2 linked regions of the Mytilus edulis genome follow. The protein of the gene in region 1 binds, or shares a complex with, the protein of each later gene. Links are inferred from orthologs where the notes say so. Each region holds a gene or a part of one and is shown in the gene's direction. Other genes may lie near its edges.

Region 1 (9,371 bases):
GATATGTTTTTCTTTTGACAAAGCTGATAAATGTGGCTATTATAGACCAGTTCAAAGAAAGTGGACGGGCTATTAAACCTTGTATAATCACAAATCTCTATTTCATGAAGATTGATAGTACTATATCTTGACTTGTATAAGTTGGTCAATGATAATCTTCATTTAATATAAAAATAAGAAGATGATTGCTAATGAGACAACCCTCAACAAGAGACCAAATGGCATGGAAATTAACAACTAAAGGTCACTGTACAGCCTAGCACAAATATCCTATAAAATGTATTTGCACAATCAGATGTATCTATGATAGTTCCATCACCATGTCAATGGTTTGCATTTGTTAGGACTCTTAAGATTAACTTAATCTTAATTTTATCATACAAGCATGTTTTGAAAGCTAATGTCTCTAGAGTGGCCTAAATAATTACAAGTCCAAAAAGTTAATACAAATGTTGAGCTGATAAAACCAAAAGAAGCAAAACCTTGACAAGAATTCAGAGCTATGCATGTGGCCTCTATAATAGAACTGAAAGCTGCATTTTGTATAGCCTAAAAATACAAACAAGCTTTGGTGAGGATTATGAAAATGTATACAAAACAAAAAAAACAAAGCATGATGCACATATAAAACAACAAAATTAAGCAAAGCAACAATGAAGGAAATTTCTTCTAAAATACACAAAACTGACCCTCATTATCCAACATAAAAATTGTATTTGTGCTGAAAATGAACCTTGGGACATTATTTTAAAAGACACCTTGATGATGTTAATGCAGTCTGCAATTTGTTTTAACCTGATCCAAAAGGTTAATCATAGTCTTTTCATCACAATGCAAGATTAAGAAATCTCTACTTAAACTACTGGTCTTATTGAAATGGACCATCTTAAGTGAGAGGAGTAAACCGTGTTACCTTGATGGATTAACACTATAACTAAATCAAAGTGCTTGATAGCACTGAACGGTAAAGATTGCTTTAATTTAACAGTGGGAAGTAAAATTAATTAATGCATTGGTTGTAGTTGATTTAACAGTAATTATAGACAAAGCGGACAGTTGTCGCATTGGCAATCATAACACATCTTTGTTTATAAAGGAAGATAACTCCAAATTTTCAAAGACGATTCTAACAATGACCATTCTATTTTTAGAACAGTTATTAAATTCATGCAACTTATAAAAGTTATGTTATTTTCTTGACACGTGTAACATTATTTTGTGCCTTAAAATTACATTGATAAATTTCTGGAAATGTTCATGGATAGGATGTCTAGAATGTTATGATCAATGCACTATATTTTGTGTATCAAAAAAGGTAGTGATAAGCCTTTGAAAAAGTCAGTCCAATAAGGTTTTGATTGAATTTCATGCAATCTTTACCTAAAAAAGAACTAATGGACTTTGCATGAAATCCTAGGGGTAGGGTGGTAAACAACTTTTATAGGAAATTGCTCAGATTCGTTTTATGCCTGGACATCGTTATTACAGTCCTATAAAAAAGTATGTCATTTGAGGAACATCCAAAATCCAAGAAGAACAATAGAAAAGAAATATTGTTTTGAAATAGTAGACAATGAGATATATACACGTAGATGTAACCATGCTAGCAGTGACTTACTTTTTTTAATTATTTCGTTGCTAGGTACCTTGTTTCCAGATTCGTTTAACTGATATAGTGTTTTTAAATATCCTGTTGAAGTTCAATTGTTCAATGTGTTAAGGTCACAGCAACACCTAACATATATGGTTACTAGATGCTTTACCAAATCATGATTGTTCTGATGACTTCCAGGAAATTCCTCAAATTTTGAATCACATCGAAATTTAGTTCAAGTGGTCCATGTCAAACATACGGTCGTAACTGTCCTCAAACTATATGGTTGACAGGCGCTTTTAAGCAGAATTGTTCCGAGAGACTTTCAGGTAATTAAAATTTGGAATCGCATCCTTTTAAAATTCAATTGTTTCATTACAAAGTTTAAGTCACTACAGTTATCAAATTTTAATTGTCCTAGGTCAAGGTATAGGTCACTAAAGATACCAAAATACACATGGTTGATTTGTCTTCTTCTTCGAATCGCATCCTTTTAATGATCAATTGTTCCATGTAAACATGCACTTTCTGTTCTTCTTTGGCTTCTTGTCAATAGTTTTACAACGCAGAAACAGTTAAAAACTTATACAGAGAAGAGCAAAAACAACAGAGATGTATATTACGACCTAATGTATAAATTGTACTTGGTGATCCTGTTGATCCTGTATAAAAAAAAATAATAAGGGTTCCGCGGAACCCAGTGTCTCGCCTACGTTATCTGTAAATCGCAGGTTCAACAAAAACGAGGGAAAAAATCAATAAAAATATTCCTCTTGATACTATCGTTTGAATGTAAGAAGCTTCTGTCCAAGTTTGGTAAAAATCCAGGATAGTTTATGAATCAAATAAATGTTTAAAAAATTTAATTCCAGAATGTATGTAATGTTAACTGGAAGAAAAACTAAGTCCATTTGTTAGTAAAATACAGATACACAGGTACAAAATTTTAACAAAATTTCCTTCTAGATACGAACAAGCCTCTGTCCAAGTTTAGTACAAACAAGAATATGTCCATAGTACATGGATGTTCCACTATCATTTTCTATGTTTAGTGGACCGTGAAATTGGAGTAAAAACTCTACTCTGGCATTAAAATTAGAAAGATCATATCATGGAAACATGTATACTAAGTTTCAAGTTGATTGGACTTTAACTTCATTAAAAACTTTAACCAAAAACTTTAACCTGAAACTTGCGCCATCATTTTCTGTGTTCAATGGACCGTGAAATTGAGATAAAATCTCTAATTTGGCATTAACATTAGAAAGATCATATTATAGGGAACATGTATACTAAGTTTGAAGTTGATTGGAATTCAACTTCATCAAAAACTACCTCGACCAAAAACTTTAACCTGAAGCGGGACAGACGGAAGAACGGACAGATGAACGGACTTAAGTTATTTGATTATTAATTGATAAGAAAGAGAAGGTGCATTCAAAACTCACAAGTCGTAAAAAAACTGACAACGTCGTGGTACAAAAAACACAGAAAAAAACAATGAAAAGAATGAACAATTTTACAATGAAGAGAACTATAAAGATTGAACTACACGAACCCATACAAAAACCGGGAGTTAACTCAGCCCCGCCCCCCCCCTCCCAAAATAAAAGGGTAAAACAACACATCAAAGGTACAATTTAAGAATTGAATGCTCTTTTTTGTAAATTAATTGCGGTGTAAAAGCGTTGACCGAAGTACATTTTGTATGAAGCGCTTCCGCGCTTCATACTAAAAATGTGCGCACGGTCAACGCTTTTACAACCCTATAAAGTTACAAAAAAAGCATTCAATACTTATAATTACATTTTTACCTATAGGATCATGAAAACACGCCTTTTATCAAGTTTTTATTTCATTTACCTGTGCACTTTATTGTGGGACCTCGTGTCATCATGATTGAAAAGTTGCATTGTGTAATGCAATTGATTAAGGAATATCACGAGATTGCTAGTTAGCCAATCAGAATAACGTATTATAATGAAACATACATCTAATGTAATTATGACTATATCATTATAATACGTTCGTTCGTCTACAACTTCACCAGACACTCGAATACAAAAAAGTTCTAAAAAGCCAAATAAAGAACGAAGACTGAGGACCAAAAATTCCGAAAGGTTTTGCAAAATACGTGTCAACCATCTGAGTATTTCTAGCGTAGAAGATTCTTAGTATTTTTAACTATTCTAGTTTGATCAACAATTAATCTATGAATATTACCATATCAATGATATTTGAATATTAGGCAGTGCTTTCGCCAAATGTGACACCATTTTACTACCAAAAGACAAGCATCAACATAAAATTGAAAACTAAAGAAAAGACTAGGCAACACCAGCCCTACCATGCAAAATCCAGCCAAAGTAACCCTAAACGTACAAAATGTGGGTATCTTAAACATTTGACACAATCTGTATGCTAGTATATTCCATGCTCAAGCCCTATTTCAATTCATCTCGATTTTGATATGGCAACACATTATAATGTTCCAGAATTCAGCGATGATATGCATGAATCCAATTTTCCCTTTATATGCGCACAACATTAATGTGGGTCCACACTTGAGAGATTATTTTTCATACAATCAAGTTAATTTGATTATCAAGAGATCCTTAGCGATGATTAAACAGACTCATCCATTCATTTTAAAACTGCTCAGTAGTATATGTATTTTAATTTTAATGGCAATTTCTTTGTTCTTTTTGTGTTTTGTGGGCTTTTTTTGTAGCTTTGTGTAACTTCGGTAAATTAAGACATGGACCACAAAATGCATATATGATGAACTAGGATGCACCGGCAGGGTAATCAGATTCCGTTCCACATGTGACATCCATCGTGTTACGCCTATAAGATCATATAACATACAAGAAAGGCTAGGGATACCAAAGGCACATTCACAAGCCAAAAATAAAATGATAACGCAGAACAGAAAATGACAAACAGACAAACAACAGTACACAGTATACAAAACCCAATATAGAGAAGCAAAGACTGCATGAGCAACACGAACCCCACCAAAAAAGGGGGTGATCTCAGGTGATCCGGAAAGGTACACATGCTTCACTGCGGCACCCGATAACAGGTATAACTCAGACGTTCGAATTCGAGGAAAAGGGGACAGGAGTGTAATCACAACATAGGAACACATTGTTGTCATCTGAGAAACAAATATTCCATAATGGTCAACCCACTTGTGATTGCGTCCGTAAAATTTACAAACTGAGACGAATTCAACTTCACCACTTGGAACTCTTCAATATATAAATAGCTTCCTTGTGAGCAGCAATCGTCTATCGTGGCAGATTCAGAAATTTTCAAAATGGAGGCCACTGACCTCATACGAGATTACCCGATCCAGTGATTACACTACATAATTAACAAAATATTTCCGTTTCCCCCTCAATTTGCCTCTTATAGTGGGAGTTATATACTTCGTAAGCTGGAAAGTCACACAGAAATGGAAAGTTCACAATTGGAAAGCTGATATCTCGTTTGTCGTTAAGTTTGGGTTTCAACCGATAATCAATATCAATTTCTGGATGTTAGTCGACATAAGATGCAGACTTAACTGTATCCTTCATCTTTAGATCGATTGGACATTGGAATGCTTTAAAACCTAAATATTTTAATATTTGTTTTGAATCTTCACACATTTTCAAAATATACACGAGCTGTTGTATAAAAAAAGTAAAAAAAGCAAAAATACCGAACTCCGGTAAATTCAAAACAGAAAATCCTTACCTCTATCGTATCTGTTGAACCCTTTTTTCTCAAGTTCGATATGATATTGATGCGTTCAACATAGTTCTTCTTCTTCTTCTTTAAGTTTCCAGTAGTTATTAATTTTTGAATTACTTTACTTTTAGTTAGAGATCATTTAGCCTACTATCTTTCTAAGAATTTCAGATACAGATCCCGATCGAAAAACACGTCCTCCAAACGTAATTAATTAATATGTTTTGTCAATCAAGAAATCAAGCATCAAGATAAAATCAGTTTTAGAGATTTTTTTAACTGACTGCATGACTTGTATCTACGCAATATGTTGATAAATCCTAGTAGCTAGTTATAATTTTCTGGAAAAAACACTTAGCAGTTGATGACCTGCCCAAGCATGTAAAATTTACACGTTCGTTTGTAAAAATAACAGAAAGATTGTAACCTCAGTCTGGGACTATAGTCCCAGCCTCAGTGGACGTGAAACAAATACCAATATAAAAAGGGATATTTTCCGGAAATTTACCTACTTTGACTTTATATTTTATACTATGAATTTAACTTCCTGGAAAAAATGTAAATAATGTTGAAACTTTGTTTTGAAGGTAATCTTAGAAACGTATTAAATACGTATCAAAATTGACCAGTCAAGGTATAGTAGGATGGATATATAAAACGTTTATCCTACAACGCATGCTTTATCCATCATACATCTATTTGTAAACAAAGGCCCTACTAAGGTCAACATCTAGTACGAGTGTACATTTTACTCTTTATGTATATATATAATATTAGCTCAGCATGTATGAGCCAGTTGTGGTTGGAACTGACAAATGTAAATGGTATGGCAAAATATGAGGCCATAAATATATCATACATGTATATATTATATTCAATCATGTAGGTCTTCATAGCAAGTTTGCCACTCTAGTATCATTGCTATTGGAAATTGTCCTGTATCACCAAGATTGTAATTCTATTCAAAGACGTTTTTTGTCAGGCTTGGTTATTGACATATGCAACACACCTGTGACCTCCTTTTATGAATAAAAGTTGACAAATAAATTTTTGTGTTCAACACTTGATCCAATTCACCTGGCTTCAGGTACAAGTCTCTTCAATTTTATGTTGAACTTTACAGACATTTGAAAGTTATGGCAATGACTTTAAAATAAACATGCAAAATTAAACCCTAAAGGTACCCAATATATTGAAAAGGTGGAACCAAATATTATAAAGATCAGAGTATATTTTGTGTTGGTTTATTTTGTTTACACCAGCTGACAAATTAAAAAGACTAAAAAATGTGTACATGTATGGCAATAAAACAAACTATATCCCTTTTGTATGAAATTAACCATAACCAATACATTTAAAATTCAAGAAACATCCAAGGAATGCAACATTACATGTTTTCCTCTCATGCCATTACAATGACTATAAACAGATAAACTGGTAAATTTAACTTGGAACACTCCTTCTTCTTCTTCCTTGCTAAGGACTGGATTCTTTAAAAGAATGTTATAAGTCCACTAGACGGAGAATGAGTCATTAGTGCATCAATGTGAAGCATTACAGAACTCTCAACTCTTTACATGTGCCAATTAAAAAACAAGAAGACATACCAGGTACACTTTATAATGACTCTAACTCAATCATTACTTTTTTTTTTCAGATTGTATACCAAGATGAAAGATGACAAGAACATTTGAATTATTGGCTGGTTGGACACTGATCACAGTGACCTCTATAGCTTACATCTATTACACAGTTTGGGTTATTGTTCTGGTAAGATATACTGTAAACTCTTATAATATTGAGTTTTTTTTTTGTGATTAATTTGACTGGCAATACAGTGTTATTAATCTAGCATTTTTGTTCATTCTTTTAAAAAAAAAACACAACAAGAAATGCACACAACAATTTCTGAATTTTCATTATGGAAAATTTCTCAAAATTTAACGCTTCTAACATATTGATGAAAATGACAATTCTATGATATTCACACCAATGTTTTGCTAATAGTTTAAAAAATTGTAAAAGTAAGAAAAGTTGTAAGTGAATTAACATTTTTGCTAAATAAAAAGGATTAAAGTCAGTACTTTGAGGAGTTTCTCTGTCAAACTATGTATCTCATTATGTGGACTTATAAGTGAGTCTAATGTACTTTCATTTAAAGCAAAACAAGAAGTCCAAACACACATTTTTAGGTTACTGGACTTAGAAATCAATTGATTCAAAACATGGTGAAAGTGGCATATATGCTTATACAACATAACAAATACCAGTAACTATAAAAAGACCTCCAAGAAAATTGAACATTAATTTAGTAGGTGGAGCACAAAAGTAAACACATTTATTATATATTTTTTTTACCTGAATATTAAATTGAAATGGCTATTTATAGCTATGATAAAACACATATTGTTTATGCAATCATTGTTATTTTCAGCCCTTTGTTGACAAAGATCAAATCTTCCACCAAGTCTTTCCAGACCACAAATATGCATTAGGTATTCCATTGCTGATGGGTGTCACTGGATTAGCTGTTATAGGTAAATATATTTTTATTTGTTTGAAATCTAATGTCATATTGGTAAAAACATTTTTTTTTTTTTTTTTTGCCATATTTTAAACAAGATGTTATTGTTCTGTTTGATTTTGAAGTTATTGGCACAGTTCTAGATTATTTCATAACTTTTTAATTTATATTCAGCCTAAAACAAAGCTAATTATTCTCTATAAATGAATTATATAACCATCATCAAGACATGCATTTTTTTGAAACCTTAAAAGGTTTAACTTTACATGCTTTAAGTAAAGAAAGGAATGTGTGCTGTTCATACGAGACAATTAGTACTTTGTTATTGTTTCCCCTCAGAATCCATCAAATTTTATATCATATGAATAGAACTGTAAATTCAGAAATAATTTCGATGTTTTTATTGTCAGATGGGAAAAATGATGGAAATGAGAAATAAAATGTTCAAATATTTCTCGCTGCATTGAAAACCCCATTAGTGGCCTTCAGCTGTTGTCTGCTCTTTGATTGGGTTGTTTTCTCTTTGAAACGTTCCCCATTTTCATTCTCAATTTTATTAATAACAAAATACGGATTCATGTTGGTGGTGATAGCCATTCAATTCCTGAGTGTAACAATTCACCAAAACAATATGCATTGTGTAGTATGTTTCTTCAAAGCACTATTAACAACTGGGATTAGCCCATTTTGCCTTTTTCAATAATGTGTTAAATAAACAACTGTAAGAAGAATCTGGTTAATCATTACTTATGTTTGTTATTGTAGGTCTATTTGTATTACTGACTTGCAGAGGACAGAGAGTTAAATCAAACTGACAGATTGGTTATTTACAGTCGATCTAACAGAATGTACAACAGATATTCATTGAAACATTAACGTCTTATTATAGTGCAATATTCTTTTATTTTTCCAATAAAATATTGACATGAACATGTTCACTATATAGTATTAAAGTGTTGAACACAAATATATATGACATTTAGAGTTTGAGCAATATTAAAATAATACACAGGTACGCTGTACATGTATTGGTAATTTAATCAACATTTCTATCTTTAAAGTAGGTTAAAATATACAAAATGAGGCGAAATGCCTTTATGAAAACCCGGTCATTTTGGTGTTGGAAAGGACAAAAGTGACTGCATAACTCGTCTTGGTGTTTCTAATGGCTGTTGTGATTCTTCTGTAAGAAAAAACATTATATTTGAGCATATTTATGTGAAAGAAGAACTACATAAAACATGTTATATGTTTAAGTTCAAGAAGATTATTAATTATGGTAAACCCTTCCAATAGTAAATCTCAAGATGAATGCAAGAAAATTGTCAATAATAAAAAGAGATGTAAGCAGGTATGCATTGATGTGAGACAGCAACCTAATGACACAGATAATCAAAAGACATGTATAAAGTAACATACAATTCAGCGCTACTAAAGATTAATCTTTAACCATCTTTCTAGTTGACATATAAGGCATTGGCATAAATTGTTCAGTTACCAATATCTGCCTTTTAC
Region 2 (9,342 bases), about 2.2 Mb from region 1:
ATCATGATTATTACTTGTGGAATATCAATCTTTGTGGATTTATTATCATGATTATAACTTGCGGAATATCAATCTTTGTGGATTTATTATCATGATTATTACTTGTGGAATATCAATCTTTGTGGATTTATTATCATGATTATTACTTGTGGAATATCAATCTTTGTTGATTTATTATCATGATTATTACTTGTGGAATATCAATCTTTGTGGATTTATTATCATGATTTTAACTTGTGGAATATCAATCTTTGTTGATTTATTATCATGATTATTACTTGTGGAATATCAATCTTTGTGGATTTATTATCATGATTATTACTTGTGGAATATCAATCTTTATGGATTTATTATCATGATTTTTACTTGTGAAATATCAATCTTTGTTGATTTATTATCATGATTATTACTTGTAGAATATCAATCTTTGTGGATTTATAATCATGATTTTTACTTGTGGAATATCAATCTTTGTTGATTTATTATCATGATTATTACTTGTGGAATATCAATCTTTGTTGATTTATTATCATGATTATTACTTGTGGAATATCAATTTTTGTTGATTTAATGATTACAGGTAAACCACAAATTAAAATGTCCAATGAATTTTATATTTTGTTTTGGAAATTATGCAGACTGTCAAAAACAACAAAATTAACTATCCACGAAAATACAAAGATTCTTCAATCCATGATAATTGGTACCCACAAATAATAATGAATCCCCAGCAAACAGAAGGCCATAGATATGAATATCTGGAAACAAAAATCTAGATTATTATGGACATTATGTCAAGCTATGTATAAGAATAGCATTTACTGAATACAAAGTTGAGAAAGTATTTCAAAATATGTCTAAAAAATATTATTTTCTCACTAATAATGTGTCAGCTAAACGTTTTAATTACATTGTGTTGTATTGTAAAGGGAATATTAAGCTTCTTAATGATCAAAATTGGTGCTTGTCAAACTGCTATATAACCAGTGTATTTTTTCTAACAAAACAGTTGGTTCAAAATTTTTGAAATTTTTATATTTTTGTTAAAGGGTCAAAGTAAATACTTTGTCAACATTTTATTAGAATTAAACGAGCCAAATTAATTTTAGTGAAAGTGTTAGGTACCACCTTATATCAAGAGTGAAATACCAAACTGTACCAAAATCTACCAATATTTTGTCTGTTTGAAATGTACAGGGATTTTAAACCTCACACACCTATCTTTTTCTATCACTGCCTTTCTTTCCAAGTCATAGATTTCTTTGTCATGGTCAAGATCTTTTTGATTAAGCTTTGCTTCAAGCTCTGCAAACTTCTTGTTGAGTTCATCTTGTTGTACTCGAAATTCTTCCAATGCATTCAACTTCCCAGCTGGAATGATAAAGACAAATCTTTTGCAATCACATGAAATTAGGTTTTGTGCTGAACCCTCTATTTCAGTTTTGAATTGATTTGAACGATGGAACAAGACTTTTATTGGTACAGCTAATTGTAGCTACTGTGGATTCATTTATTTTCGTGGGTACCAATTATGTGGTTTGAGGAAAATTTACATATTCGTGGATATCTAATTTCGTGGTTTTGGCAAGTCTACACTCATTCCTTTAGAAAATTTGTCATTCGTTGAACATTTGAATTCGTGGTTCTCTTGTACCAACGAAATCCACGAAAATTGGTATCCAACGAATATTAATGAATCCACAGTATTTCAATTCAGACATGTTTAAATGAGAATTTTTTTTATCAATTCTACCTGATATTTCATGCATTCTTAACAGCTAAGATAATTTTTTAAACAGTTTTCTTAATATTCTTTCCCTTGGTTGTCATTGAAGGACACTGGTTGTCACTATCATTTAGGAGATAACTGTATTGTATTTTAAGTTCCGACGGCATCAATTGGGGATTTGATGGTCGCAAATTAAGTTTACTGGCGACGCGTTTTTGAACATGTTAAATCTAATCTATATACATTTTATTCAACAGTAAGTAAACAACTTAGGAAACTAGAGAGATTTTATCCATACAAAAAAACCAGTTTTGATGTAGAGGGTACACTACTGATATGGAAAAAAACATGATGTAACTTTGCATTGTCAACTTATAAATGTTAAGCTGCTGTATAAACTATAATCCATTTATAACAAGCAATAGAGATTCAATATGATACAGAAAAATACCCATTCACTATCCTAAACAAGTTGGTCAAAAAGCCTGACTCCTATTTAGGAGAATAATATAAAATATTGGCCTGTAAATATAAGGAAAATGTTTACAGGTCCAATAAAATTTCACAAACTGTGCTGTTTAACCTTCTTGACATTTAAGACTGATTCACACTAATGTCAATCATTCTAAACATTTATTTACAAGGTACATGCATGTGAGTCCACACTTACTAGTTAATGTTAATTCTGTGTATTTACAAGGTACATGCATGTGAGTCCACACTTACTAGTTAGTGTTAATTCTGTGTATTTACAAGGTACATGCATGTGAGTCCACACTTACTAGTTAGTGTTTATACAGTGTATTTACAAGGTACATATGTGTGAGTCCACACTTACTAGTTAGTGTTAATTCTGTGTATTTTCAAGGTACATGCATGTGAGTCCACATTTACTAGTTAGTGTTAATTCTGTGTATTTACAAGGTACATGCATGTGAGTCCACACTTACTAGTTAGTGTTAATTCTGTGTATTTACAAGGTACATGCATGTGAGTCCACACTTACTAGTTAGTGTTAATTCTGTGTATTTACAAGGTACATGCATGTGAGTCCACACTTACTAGTTAGTGTTAATTCTGTGTATTTACAAGGTACATGCATGTGAGTCCACACTTACTAGTTAGTGTTAATTCTGTGTATTTACAAGGTACATGCATGTGAGTCCACACTTACTAGTTAGTGTTAATTCTGCTGAAAGTTTGTCATTTTTCTCCTGATATTCTGTTCTTAGCTGATGGATCTGAGCATTCAAGCGTTCTTTCTCGGATTCCAATGTTTGCTCCAAACCAATCAGCTGGTCCTTCAAATCATTGCATTCATCCTCTAAAATGATAAAATAGATAAATAATGTGAATATATCCAAACAAAATATGTAACTTTCAAATCCCAAAACATAATGTGGTATAGCATGGCTCATTGTTGAAGGCCATACAATGACTTATAGTTGTTAATTTCTGTGCCAATTGGTCTCTTGTAGAGACTTGTCTCATTGGCAATCATTCCACATCTTATTTTTGGAGCTCAGACAAACAGTGCAACTTGTTATGCTATTTCAGAATAACAGCAGACCCAATGCCAGGAATTTCTGGGGAGGGGGGGGGGAAACAAACTCTTTTAACAGTTACAATTCAAACAGAACGTAAACTTTAACAGTGCTTATTTGTTTTCAAGGGTGGGTGACATGCTCCCCTGGTTATGGGTGCGAACAGTGTTACTTGTAATGATAGCAAAGAAAAACAGTTGAATTTTTAATGATAGCTCAGGCTAACAGTTTAACTTTCTATCTATCTCAATTGTATTGAATCTGAGTCTGACTTCAAATTAATATTTCTATTGCTTAGATCTGAGTGTTGATGTCTTAACGTACCACTTCTATTCAGTTTTCCTTCTAGCCAGAGAATAATCTGTTCTTTATTCTTGATCTCATAATCTTTTTGTGACTCAAAAGCTCCTTTCTGAACTTCTAACTCATCACATTTTTTCTGGTACCTTAAAAAGTTATTAAAAAAACATTCATTATATTATATCCAATCTACACATGCTACATTTACATACATGTACATGTGCATGATGCATTTAGCCATGTATTTTGTCTGTATAGCCAAATCAATCATATTTTTCATGTTTGTAATATTATATAGTATTAGTCAATAATGATTTACATTTCACATGTGTATGTTAATCAGAACATAAAAGGTCAGACAATTTTTAGTTGGTAAACATATTGTCTGTTATTGTAATATAATGATCATGATAATAAATACAGTTTATATATTGATTATGTTCTGTGTTCTGTACAGTACAGTGGAGTCCCCTGTGTCCGTGCAGCCTGTGATATTGCACATTTGCTGATTTCGTCATATCAACTCACATGACTCAGTAACACAAATAAAATCTATCTTGTTATTGTTTTAGTCTTCCAAAGGCATAAAAAAGAATAAAATTGATTAAGTTGAAGAGTTAATTAATAACTGCAATCCCATGATTTACCATATATTTTGCAAATTTCCATTAAAAAATCATCATGATCAGATAAAATTTGTTTTATTTTTAAAAGTCAAATTTAAATCAGATTGAAATTTTTGCTCTGCATCCTTGGCAGTCACAGTGTGCTTAATTCAATCTCCGCTATATTTTGTGGTAAGAAATCTTTCCTTTATTCAAAATAAGCTATTTTTGAACGGCATGCACGAAATCACCGGACCTAGGAGGATTACTCTCAGCAGGCCCGTAGCCAGGATTTTCCAAAGGGGGGTTCGTTTGACTCACAAACTCGACTTTAACAGTCACAATTCGAACAGAACATCGACTTTAACAGTGCTTATTAGTTTTCAAGGGGGGGTTCGTCCGAACCCCTCGAACCCCCCCTGGCTACGGGTATGCTCAGAACAGGGGTTTCCCTAATTTTGGACACACAATACACAAAATCTAGAGAATGAAATTTAAACCATACATGTATATATACAAAGAGAAGATTTTATGAAATAATAGTATGTAATGAATGTGTTCACACAAATTTATCCAATTATTAGTTTTTTTCAGTTGAATGACAAAAATGAATGAAGTGAAGTCATAGTTCTTAGGTATGCTGATACACCGGACTGCACCGTACATACAAGTATAATTATATGTTAATCAAACCATAAAATGTCAAACAACTTTTGGTTGATAGTAATGAAATAATGATAATTTATAGATCTTCCAACATTAAATGATACATGTCATGTTACAGGTTTCGGTAAATTCGCCTACATGTATAGCATCTCATAAGGGATATTAATTGATAAATGTCAATCAGAATCTGGACCAGTTTTAAACAACATGTATATGTGGAATGAGAAAAAAACAAAGAATACATGTACAAAGTGTAAGGGATAATATTTTTCGCAGCTGTTCTTCGACCTCAAGTGTGTTTTCAGTGACAATTTTTTTTATATAAATATGGAAGTAGCATTAAAAAAGGAGCATAATCTGAGTTTTCTTGGATTCCAAAAAAAGGCCAATTAAATGACAGCAATACATTTAAATATATATGCAAGCAAATTAAGGTCAGTGACAGTATATTTGTAAAACAAAATGTTGAAAAATGATAGTGAAACGACACATTTCAAGTAAAACTAACCGGACAAGTCTGTTTTCCAAATCTCTTATTTGAATTAGATAATATTCTTTTGAAAGTTCATTTAATTGCTCTCCTGGTGGCTTAGCAGATCCACGTCCTGATTTCTTAGCACTTTTCTTTCCTTTCTTTCCACTCTTCTTCTTTTTTGGTGGCATTTTAAAAAATGTTATACAGATAAATCAAAAGAATTAAAGACAGGTCGACAGCTTTTACACAGAGCCAAATGAAAATAATATCACTTGTCAGTCGCCATATTGTTGCTACTAATGCCTTGGAAACCCTCTGTGCGTTCGACTTTCAGCTGTGACGGAATCTACAATTTTCTATTTATTATATTTGTTTTCTTTATGTTCGTCTTTAATGTGCCTTTTCAGAACAGTAATTCTAAATAAAATGAAGCACGATTAAAACTTATTTCTGTTTTCAACTAAGTATTGATATAAAATATAATCAATCTATTATTGTTTGCGGTTTTCAGACAGACCCCCAAAAAATATCTCTCGGGATTTATTTTAGAGCGCACCTTAAGTATTTATATCACATGACCACAAAAATGGTAGACAAGCAACAAAAACGATGGAGGAAAATTTTGTACGAAGACCAAAGCGTTCCAGACAATTATGTAGATTCGTCGTTTTTAGATGAACTCCAAAAGAACCGTATGATGAATTTCACAACGTATTTAAAACGAATGTAGGACAGAAAGTCACAGGACAAAAAGTCACAGACAAAAAGTCACGGACAAAAAGTCACAGGACAAAAAGTCACAATTCATTTTTACTGATTATTTTCTTTGAATAAATAACGCTTATTTCTACAAAAATATTTTTGTACTTTTCTTAAACTATTGTATATAAACCAACTTTTTAAACAAAATATATCAAAAAAATATCAAAGATTATCAAATAATTGTTGAAAAAACAAAATGTCAAAGTGACTTGGCACTTAAATGGCTTCATGGTGCCAAGAAAAACATCTTCTGCAGGATTAAAATTAAATAAATCTTCATTTTTCAAGTATAATGACACATTTCCTAAACTTAAATATGAATATATGTATTAAAAAGTAAATATTTCAAGATATATTCTTATATATTAAAACAATTGTCAATAAATTATTTGTGACTTTTTGTCCTGTGACTTTTAGTCCTACCAAATTTGTGACTTTATGTCCTGTGACTTTTTGTCCTGTGACTTTCTGTCCGTTTACCATTTATAACGGTATCGGGTCCGTTCGCCCTTCTAGTCAAATCGGCACCTAGTTAAATCGGCTACAAAATGTTTTTTTTCGGTTTTCGCTCATAGGACTGTTAAAAGGGGAGCAATGTAGATAGGACTTATAAAAAAATTATGAAATGCAAAATTATTAATAAATCTTCTGAATAGAGTAATACATAAACAACACATTATCACATATTTGTGATACAGAATTTACTTAAAATCATCCAAAATCTGCTCTTCAGGTCTAGGCAGAAACAAACTTCTCTATTACTTTGTCAATATTCACACTGAAATTCTGATGAATATGCAGTAATGCTAGTAACTGTCGTTGTTCATTGTTGATCATACATTTGTTTTCAACATACATTGTACACTGATAGAATTGAATTAGTCGAAATACATGCTAGGTCAGTTTCGTATGTCTCAGACAATGTTGAGATTCATTTGTTTGTTATATTTCCTTCAACACAATGAAGCAGATACAGCGCAAAGAAGTGATCTTCTGATAATACTAGACACAACTTCACTCTCCAGTTCCCTTATCATATGGTCTATGAACGCAAAAAATAATGAGCACTTTCAAATACTGTTTTGGCGTGTTTGCAGGGTGATTGGCTCCGGAAGTCTGTCGACCACATCGCCTCAGCATATTTTCAACGATATTGAATGGTTCTGATAATTCTAATGCGATTGGTACGTCATCTCATTCCAAACTGATGAAAATGTACACTGTAAAATGTGCTCCTAAACTACATGTCTTAGACTGAGTATTACGAATTAAAATCTTGTAAAAGATACAAGTTACTGTCTGATTTTGTCATAATCTCCAATAACCATGATTAAACTTTTATTTTGAAACCGAATGCCGTAAATTAATAATATTTCATCAATTAAAAAAGTGACAACATTATCATGATTATGTTTCCTTTAACATTCAATTTTTGCCATTTTTTGCAACTGCCTGTTAGCTTAAAGGGAGCTACGCGTCTGCATTTATAGATTGACAAATTGTATAAGAAATCAGCTTGATCACAGTATTTGACCACTAGACTAGGCTGACTTCTTATAGATTATTGAGTCATTAGGTTGTTGAGAATTGATTTTCAGGGTCTGCATTATAAATTCAATAGTTTAGACTTTATCATGTATATCTCAACAGGAGCAATGTGTATTTTAAGACCTGATATTCAAACAATGTATTACAGGAAAACATAATTTTTGTTACTTCTTTTTCAGTACATACAAGGAAGTATGATTATTGGACAGTTTGTGAACAATCAGGAGAAGTAACTCAACAGATAAGCAGGTATTAAATGTTAACTGGGTAAATGAAAGTCAGCTTTGCTCACTATTGATGAAATTTATCATTGAAATATTGAAACTTTGAAGATATGTAGATGTGTATATCGACAGGAAATTATGATTCCATAATTTATATATGATTGATGTCCTTTTGAACTTAGAATATTAACATAGTTTTTTAACATACTGCAGTAGATTTTTTTATTGCAACTCCACACAACAGAATTTATACATAAAAAAGATTCTAACAAATTTGGGTACAGACAACACATTTGGATACAGGCATCAGGCTGTGGTTTTTGAAAACACCCTCCGTTCATGTATTGCAAATGTTTGCACCTGTCCTAAGTCAGGAATCTGATGTACAGTAGTTGTTGTTTGTTTATGTAATTTATACGTGTTTCTCGTTTCTCGTTTTTTTTAATATAGATTAGACCATTGGTTTTTCCCGTTTGAATGGTTTTACACTAGTAATTTTGGGGCCCTTTATATCTTGTTGTTCGGTGTGAGCCAAGGCTCCGTGTTGAAAGCCGTACATTGACCTATAATGGTTTACTTTTTATACGACCGCAAAATTTGAAAAATTTTTCGTCCTATATTGCTATCACGTTGGCGTCGGCGTCGTCGGCGTCGTCGTCGTCCGGCGTCCGAATACTTTTAGTTTTCGCACTCTAACTTTAGTAAAAGTGAATGGAAATCTATGAAATTTTAACACAAGGTTTATGACCACAAAAGGAAGGTTGGTATTGATTTTGGGAGTTTTGGTCCCAACATTTTAGGAATTAGGGGCCAAAAAGGGCCCAAATAAGCATTTTCTTGGTTTTCGCACTATAACTTTAGTTTAAGTTAATAGAAATCTATGAAATTTTGACACAAGGTTTATGACCACAAAAGAAAGGTTGGGATTGATTTTGGGAGTTTTGGTTCCAACAGTTTAGGAATTAGGGGCCAAAAAAGGGCCCAAATAAGCATTATTCTAGGTTTTCGCACAATAACTTTAGTTTAAGTAAATAGAAATCAATGAAATTTAAACACAATGTTTATGACCACAAAAGGAAGGTTGGTATTGATTTTGGGAGTTTTGGTCCTAACAGTTTAGGAATAAGTGGCCCAAAGGGTCCAAAATTGAACTTTGTGTGATTTCATCAAAAATTGAATAATTGGGGTTCTTTGATATGCCGAATCTAACTATGTATGTAGATTCTTAACTTTTGGTCCCGTTTTCAAATTGGTCTACATTAAGGTCCAAAGGGTCCAAAATTAAACTTAGTTTGATTTTAACAAAAATTGAATCCTTGGGGTTCTTTGATATGCTGAATTTAAAAATGTACTTAGACTTTTAATTATTGGCCTAGTTTTCAAGTTGGTCCAAATGGGGGTCTAAAATTAAACTTTGTTTGATTTCATCAAAAATTGAATAAATGGGTTCTTTGATATGCAAAATCTAACTGTGTATGTAGATTCTTAA

The links.
Region 2: uncharacterized protein (region 1) and phosphatidylinositol N-acetylglucosaminyltransferase subunit C-like share a complex: the UniProt entries of both Homo sapiens proteins name them as parts of the glycosylphosphatidylinositol-N-acetylglucosaminyltransferase (GPI-GnT) complex. The link is inferred for Mytilus edulis from reciprocal best matches to the Homo sapiens genes DPM2 and PIGC.

Annotation. Positions count from the first base shown.
Region 1 is NC_092345.1:2,382,759-2,392,129, reverse strand, and holds uncharacterized protein, read left to right. Parts: upstream 1-5,855; 5' UTR 5,856-5,966; intron 5,967-6,080; exon of another isoform or gene 6,081-6,156; intron 6,157-6,989; 5' UTR 6,990-7,009; coding exon 7,010-7,102; intron 7,103-7,766; coding exon 7,767-7,869; intron 7,870-8,621; coding exon 8,622-8,671; 3' UTR 8,672-8,786; downstream 8,787-9,371. Other genes in the region: uncharacterized protein, read right to left, coding at 8,966-9,039. UniProt on the Homo sapiens protein: Regulates the biosynthesis of dolichol phosphate-mannose. Regulatory subunit of the dolichol-phosphate mannose (DPM) synthase complex; essential for the ER localization and stable expression of DPM1.
Region 2 is NC_092345.1:197,719-207,060, reverse strand, and holds the start of phosphatidylinositol N-acetylglucosaminyltransferase subunit C-like, read left to right. Parts: upstream 1-5,876; 5' UTR 5,877-5,893; coding exon 5,894-6,011; intron 6,012-7,808; coding exon 7,809-7,878; intron 7,879-9,342. Other genes in the region: cilia- and flagella-associated protein 157-like, read right to left, coding at 1,218-1,371, 2,904-3,053, 3,598-3,719, 5,353-5,507. UniProt on the Homo sapiens protein: Part of the glycosylphosphatidylinositol-N-acetylglucosaminyltransferase (GPI-GnT) complex that catalyzes the transfer of N-acetylglucosamine from UDP-N-acetylglucosamine to phosphatidylinositol and participates in the first step of GPI biosynthesis.